2 linked regions of the Caenorhabditis elegans genome follow. The protein of the gene in region 1 interacts with the protein of each later gene in a pairwise test. Each region holds a gene or a part of one and is shown in the gene's direction. Other genes may lie near its edges.

Region 1 (3,758 bases):
GTTCTGATAGAATTGAAAATAGCTTTCAAAATAATTATTTATTTGAGGTTTATTAGATCCTTCAGTGAATGTTTTGGCAAATTCGGCAACAACTCCACATTTTTACACCTTTGGTGAAAATTATTAATCTAGTTAGTTAATCTAGTTAATCTAAAATTATGGGTACTTATACATTTAAAAAATTAATTTTTCATTCAAGTAGCAAATTGGTAAAACCTGCTTTCTGATCACAAGCAATAAAATGTAAACCTACTGGTAGCAACTCTACCTATTTCTAAATCTAGAAGAAAATGCAATTGATCAATAAATTGAAACTTTCGCTTTCTTTTTCCTCCTCCTCCAAATTCAAGACTTCCTGCAAATGAAATGTCGTCTCAAATCTTATCTTTTCCACGCCAAGGTTGCCAATTAAAAAACACGTCACAATTATCATCATTTCTATGTATTCAATCCCTATCTGCCTCTTCCAAATGATATTTTGAACTTGAACTCTCTCCTTCTGGTGCCCTTTGTCCAACTGCTCGAGACACACATGTGGCTGGTTTGCAGTAGACACAACGAGAGAATGAGACAAATTCTTCTCTCTTTTTGATAACGAAAAAATGATACGAGACATAGAGAAATCGATGCTTTGAGGATTTGATTTCATCGACATGTTTCTCAAACAAAATACCACATGGTAGACCTCCACGTGGGGTGATTGGCACTGGAATTTGAACTTTTTGAAAAAAAAAACTGTAACATGTGATAAATATTATATCAACTAAACGAAGGAACAAAATAAACATTAAGATAGTGTTCAAACTGCACAATTACGTGATTTCAGTTAATTTAAAATTCCTTCAAGACTTTGGAAACTCTAATAGTAAGTCACGTCAAACTGTGTTATCTTTTGTTTCAAGATCGTCATTAGTAAATACATTTATGATTACTGACTTTCATAGTTTGTAAAAAAAAATAATTGCAGCAAGAACTCTTTGTGAACTTGAGCTGATACATTGTCATGATACTGTTGGCCTACTGTAGTTTGTATGCAGAGCCAGTGGAGATTTTCAAAAAAACTCATCTTATGGTGCTAAAATATAGAAATTTTTATACATCCTTAAATGTTTTCGGAAATTTCTATTATTTATACAACGTTGTAATTACTTAAGTTAGTTCTCTTCTATCCTTTTGGAAGTCGATCAAAATAACATTTTCCACGATTTTTAAGTTTTTACTATAAAAACAAATATTAGTAGGGAGGGATAGGGTCGGGGTACTGTAGGATTAATGTATTTTTGTAGAAACCTCTGTTTCTATTAAAATGTTTCTATTACTAGTATTAGGCCAATTCATGTTAAAAATTAAGATTCTGGTTCGTAGAATGTGACTTGACATTATACAATTCAAATTCCGAACTTTTCAAAAAATACTATAGAATTTACAAATATTCAGCTGTTCACGAAAAAACCATATTTGAGCAATAAAAATTGTTTTTAACCAACATATAAAAACACCACAGAATCCCCAGAAATGTCAAATTTATTACCAAACTTGTGCCAAATACATATTATTTTTTGAAGTATGAAAAATACGCCACCTATCAGTCGTTAATCTTATCTTTTATTTTTCAAATTTCTCAATTTCCCACGCTTCTTCTCATATCCGGTTTTTTCTGCAAAATGGTCTCGTTTGGAGATTTGATAAGAGTGTTTATTCCAGATGTGTACATCATTCAATAGTATCAAACATTGTTCATTCCTTCTTTGCACATCACTATTTATTTTTCTTCTTTTCTTCCGTTTTTAACATCTTGTTTGCCTAATCAGCTACATTCTGTAAAATCTAAAAATAATAGAAGATTAACGTCTTTTTGACCAATGTCAAGAACGTTTTTTTCTTTAACGATTTCATTGAAACTTTCGGCGTGTCGACCGACCCTTCGTTTGACCCCGCCCCTTTCATTCGTTCTTTTTTCTTTTCTCTCCTCTTTCTCTCACACTTATAAATCCATTTGATTATCATTTCTCGACATCAGTCTTCTTATTGCAGCCTGTCTCAAGATTAAAATGGCTACTTTCCCACACTTCGGAACTGCTGCTATCCACGTTGGACAAGAACCAGAGCAATGGGATATGAATCAGGTTTGTCATAGGTATTCTGAATATAAATACTGAACTGATACTTTTCAGGTGGTCCCGCCAATCAGCTTGTCCTCGACCTACAAACAGGATAATCCAGGAGAGCCAAAGGGACACGATTATTCTCGTGCTGGAAACCCAACTCGTGATGTTCTTCAAAAGAATCTGGCTGCTCTCGAAGACGCAAAACACTGCCAAGTGTTCTCTTCAGGACTTGCCGCAACTTCCGCAATCATCAATCTTCTCAAGTACGGAGATCATATTGTGTGCTCTGATGATGTCTACGGAGGTACTCAAAGATATATCCGCCGTGTTGCTGTTCCTAATCACGGATTGGAAGTCGATTCGGTTGATTTGACGGATGTTCAGAATCTCGAGAAAGCAATCAAACCAAATACCAAGATGGTTTGGTTTGAATCTCCATCTAACCCACTTTTGAAGGTTGTTGATATTGCCGCAGTGGTCCAAACTGCAAAGAAAGCCAATCCAGAAATTGTTGTAGTTGTTGATAATACCTTCATGTCTCCATACTTCCAACGCCCAATTTCTCTTGGAGCGGATGTTGTCGTTCATTCAATTACCAAGTATATTAATGGACATTCTGATGTTGTTATGGGTGCTGTTATCACTGATAATGACGAGTTCCAACAACATCTTTTCTTCATGCAACTTGGTTAGTTTACTGTGCTGTTGTACGCAGTGAAATCTAGTCGTATAATTTTGTCATTTTGAGGCATAGATACGGTAACCGGTCTTGAAGCTAGTGAAACTTGGCAGCTACTGTATTCGCAAGTGCTTCGAATTTTTTCTTAACGGTTTTCACTGAATTTCAATATTAATTTCTTCGTGTTTTTCTAGAAAAGAAATCAGTTTCTCTGCTTTAGAAATCATATAAAATACATTGGAACTATAAAAAAAATTGCTAAATACTTGTGGGTACTGTAGAAGCAAAGTTTCGCTCATATCGAGAACATGTACCTTGAGTCAAATGTCGCAAAATTATAAAACTGTTTAAAATCTCATTGGATAGCTAAATTAATCGTTAACTCAAAATTTTAATGCTATTATTTTCAGCCGTCGGAGCAGTCCCATCTCCATTTGATTGCTTCCTTGTTAATCGTGGACTCAAAACTCTTCACATCAGAATGAGAGCTCACTATGAAAATGCTCTTGCTGTTGCCAAATACCTTGAAGCCAATGATCGTATCGAATCAGTTCTCTATCCAGCTCTTCCATCTCATCCACAACATGAAGTTCATGAGAAACAAACAAAGGGAATGTCTGGAATGATCTCATTCTATCTTAAAGGAGAACTTCAAGAGAGTCGTGCTTTCCTTTCTGCTCTCAAAGTATTCACTTTGGCTGAATCTCTTGGAGGATATGAATCACTTGCCGAGCTTCCATCTATCATGACTCATGCTTCAGTGCCTGCTGAAACTCGAATTGTTCTTGGAATCACTGATAACCTTATCCGTATCTCTGTTGGAATTGAAGATCTCGATGATTTGGTTGCTGATTTGGATCAAGCTTTGAAGATTGCCATTCCAAAAGTATAACTTTTCAATCATTTTATGATATGCATTTGTTTCAAATCTGAAAGCCGGTACTAGTTTTAATTGCCCACTCGTCTCCACC
Region 2 (3,758 bases), 950 kb from region 1:
GTTTCCACTTTCAACTTTCACAATTATGACTGTCTTGTTCATAACTCCAATATTAAAAGTGATCCAAGAAGAAGAGACATTCGAGAGCGTGATCGATTAATCCCTGTTTTCCACGTGGCAAGAGCTGGGGATCTCCCAACAATGAGAAGATTGTATATGCAAGGAGAAGATTTGAATACCTCTGATCACGATGATAGAACAGTCTTGCATATTGCAGCTACTGAAGGATATGAGACAATGATCAAATTCCTGGTTAATGTGGCAAAGGTTGATGTGGATAAGAAAGATCGTTGGGGACGGACTCCGTTGGATGAAGCTAAATTCTTTAAACATGACCATGTTTCTAGATTTTTAGAAAAAGCAATGAAACGGGTATGTTTAGAAGAAACAACGTGAAAGAATACATAACTGTCCGCTTTTTGGCTGAACTCTATCAATGTTTCCAAAGACGATAGTGACTTCAAAAAAACTATTTCTCGCACTATTGTTGAGCTGTGTAATACAAATAATTATTTCAGCCAGAGCAACACAGAAAAGATTCAGTTTCTTCATTGGATACAGACGATGAGATTGATGATGATGGTTTTCCAGAGAAGCCTTCTTTTACAATTGATTAGTTATTTTTGAATAGTTCCATAACTTTTGCATAAATCAATGAATATGACGTTGTTAGTTTCTCTTCTCTCTTTTCCCCTCTAAAAACATCATATGGTTGTGAACATATTGAGTGATACGTTTGACCTCCAAAAATCAAACAACGTAAATTAAGATCTTTCTATCGTTTGATTTGTTTTTTTCACATAGTTCTAAACAATTTCTACCCTATATAATAAAATATTTCAAACAATGATCGAGATTTGTTATTGTTCCTGAATTTTTGAAATGTGTGTTTTGATGTGATGAATGAAATTTCAGAACTAAAATATGCCAAGCTATTTCGGCTTAAAAAGAAAACAATTGATAAAATGTATGCTCTTATAAAGTACGCATTTTAATTTTTACTACTCGGCATTCAGAGGCAACTTCCTGCCACACTTTGGCAACTTATTTAGTGCCACTATGGCAGGAAGTTGCCTCTGAATGCCGAGTAGTCTTTTATCTTATCTTTGTTTTATAGTGTTTCGTGATCTTTTCTAATTTGTTATTTTCATTCTAAACAATTTTGACAAAGTACATGACGAAAGTTTCAGTTAAAAATTGTTTTCAACTTTTTTTTCTGACCCAATTTTCCTATAGACAGATCAAACAATTTTTATTTCCACAATTTGTGTTTCAATTTACAATTGTTTACTTCAACTTGTTCCGGCAAAACTGAAAAAAGCTGATTTTGTGGAATTTTATAAAGCAAAAAAAGTTGCTGTGCTGTTATTTAGCCGTTTTAGTCAGTAGAAACGTTGGTACTCTATGCACCTAGATAAGACAAATATTTTGCACAAAATCACACATCGGTCTTTTAAAATCGCCCACTTTTCGTTCACATGACCCATCTCGTTTTGCCTCCTCAACTATTTGTTTGTGTTTTACTCCACTTCGTTCGTTCTTTGATTCGTTAGAATGTTTCGTCTATTTTTATTGAATTTTATCAAATATCCTGAAGAGTCAGCTGAATTACATTGGCAACTTTCAATTAAATCTTATTTTTAATTCAATTTCAATTGCAAATAAAGGCGGAGAAAATATAATCGGTATAAAAGGGAGGAAGACCACAAGTTCACAAATTGAACTGTGGATTCATTGTTTAATTCACATGTTTATTTGTTCATCACGAAAGATGTACATCTAACAATTTCTCACTTTTTAAAAGAAATGTTCATATAAAAGTCGGTCCCTACTGATTGCTGTGAAACTTCAAAAGAACAATTACGGTTGAATCTTGACTTGTTTTTCAAAATAAAAAGTGGGGGTAAAATGTTTTTGACAGTTGGCCATGGCTCGTCCTTCTCTCTGCGTCTCTTTTCTCTATGTTACAATTTTTAATCGGCTCCTCGTATTCTTCTTCTTCTTCTTCTTGTTATTCTTCATTTCTCTTCAGATTGGTCACTTCGTTCAAAATGTCACGTAATCGGTGTCGTTGTGTACGTCTTCCAGTGGTTCGTGTTCAAGATTCATCTGATTTACCACAACTTCCAGATGAAATTATTGAAATTATTGTATCCAAAGTTCTTCCAACAGAGGTCAGTTTTTCTTATCATACTTCTTTTGTATATTTTTTCCAATTTGAAAAGTGACTATCTTGCAATATCGTTGTACCATTTTTGATGTATGGTCTTGAAGCCCAGTGCCTCAGTATTGACTTACAGTTCTCAATTTTTAATTTTTTTGATGTGATGCAGAAATTCTTTGAAATATAACTAGGGCCTATTTGGGAAAATGTTGAAAATAAAAACCTTTTTCTTTCAATATTTATTTATTGATATATTCTTGAGTCTGGGGCAAATCTCATGGAAATGAAGAACACGCGAGATAAGTCTCGGATCTGAGTGAAGGTAACCTGAATAAAATAGAAAAAAAATTGTCAACTTAAATCGTTATTATATTTTATTTGTTAGAGCGAAATCAGTTTGTTCATTGAAAATACCAAAGTATTTATGTATTTTTTTAATAATTGTATATTCTTTTTTCAGTTAGTTGCTTATGGTTGGGATCAAGTGAGTCGTTCATTTGGTACTTTTGTCCATCGAACTCTGTGCTCAAAAGTATATTATTGTGCACTTCATGATCCAGTATGGGAACTGTATCAAACAACTCGCAGTTGCTACGGTAATTAGCTGAATAGAAAAATTTAAAAACATTTCAAGTGTTCTTTTCAGATCTCAAAAAATTTGACAAATTCTTGATTCTATTGATTAAGAAATACATCTGCCAAGTGGAGGATATTGTTCTTCCAGTTTCTTTGTTTTCACACAGTACGTTTCAATGAATAATTGGAGTTTATTTTCTGCAAATTTCAGTTCAACATCTTCTCGAAAAACATTCATTTTTGGCGGCAACTAGTGGAACAGCTTGTAACTTCCGTCATCCACAACCTGGAGTTGCATTCACGAATCTAACAAAGTTGACAATTCAAATAGGAGCAGAATGTGGTGGATTGACTTTGTCACATAATTTTGAAAACTTAAAAGCTTCATCTTCGCTTTGCAAAACTCTTCAAGAAATAAATCTTGATATTGTACTTTCCGACAATGAAGATGTCACTTGTGCTGGATTCAGAGAACTTCTACGTTTCTTGAAAGAAATATCTTATAAATTGACTGTATGGAATATACGACTTAGTGATAATACAACTACTGGTCAAGGATGGTCTGGTCCTGCAAATTTGAATAGATACCGTAATAAGATGTTCATTTGTTACATTCGAACTATGATGGACTTATCATTGCAAATAAATCAATTGGAATTGGTCGATAAACGAAAAGCTTCACCGTACATGCTGGTCATGGCCCATGGAAGAAGAACCATTTATATGTTCCCGGAATTTAAAGTTAGTTTTGTTAAGATCTATTGATCGGTATCTTAATTACAAATATTTATGAAAGGTGTGCTGAAAGGCTTTTTGGTTGAGTCTCGCCGCGAGAAAACTTATGGTACATTTTTTCTCGCAACGAGGCCCATCCGTATAAATCCGTACGCCTTTAAGTTCGCGTTTCAGAAATATGTGAAATTACGATATTCATAAACGGAATTTATATTTTTAATTCCTTTTTCAGATATGTCGAAGTTTGGTTATTTGCTATGATATTGGACTTATTGCTCCTGTG

What was found.
Region 2: the proteins of cth-2 (region 1) and DH11.2 interact in a two-hybrid assay, tested with the Caenorhabditis elegans proteins (one large-scale study listed by BioGRID).

What each region holds. Positions count from the first base shown.
Region 1 is NC_003280.10:7,056,237-7,059,994, reverse strand, and holds the start of cth-2 (Putative cystathionine gamma-lyase 2), read left to right. Parts: upstream 1-2,034; 5' UTR 2,035-2,051; coding exon 2,052-2,126; intron 2,127-2,174; coding exon 2,175-2,796; intron 2,797-3,197; coding exon 3,198-3,679; 3' UTR 3,680-3,758.
Region 2 is NC_003280.10:8,010,784-8,014,541, forward strand, and holds the start of DH11.2 (F-box domain-containing protein), read left to right. Parts: upstream 1-2,032; 5' UTR 2,033-2,051; coding exon 2,052-2,174; intron 2,175-2,624; coding exon 2,625-2,760; intron 2,761-2,810; coding exon 2,811-2,906; intron 2,907-2,951; coding exon 2,952-3,481; intron 3,482-3,707; coding exon 3,708-3,758. Other genes in the region: glna-2 (Putative glutaminase 2), read left to right, coding at 1-372, 519-617.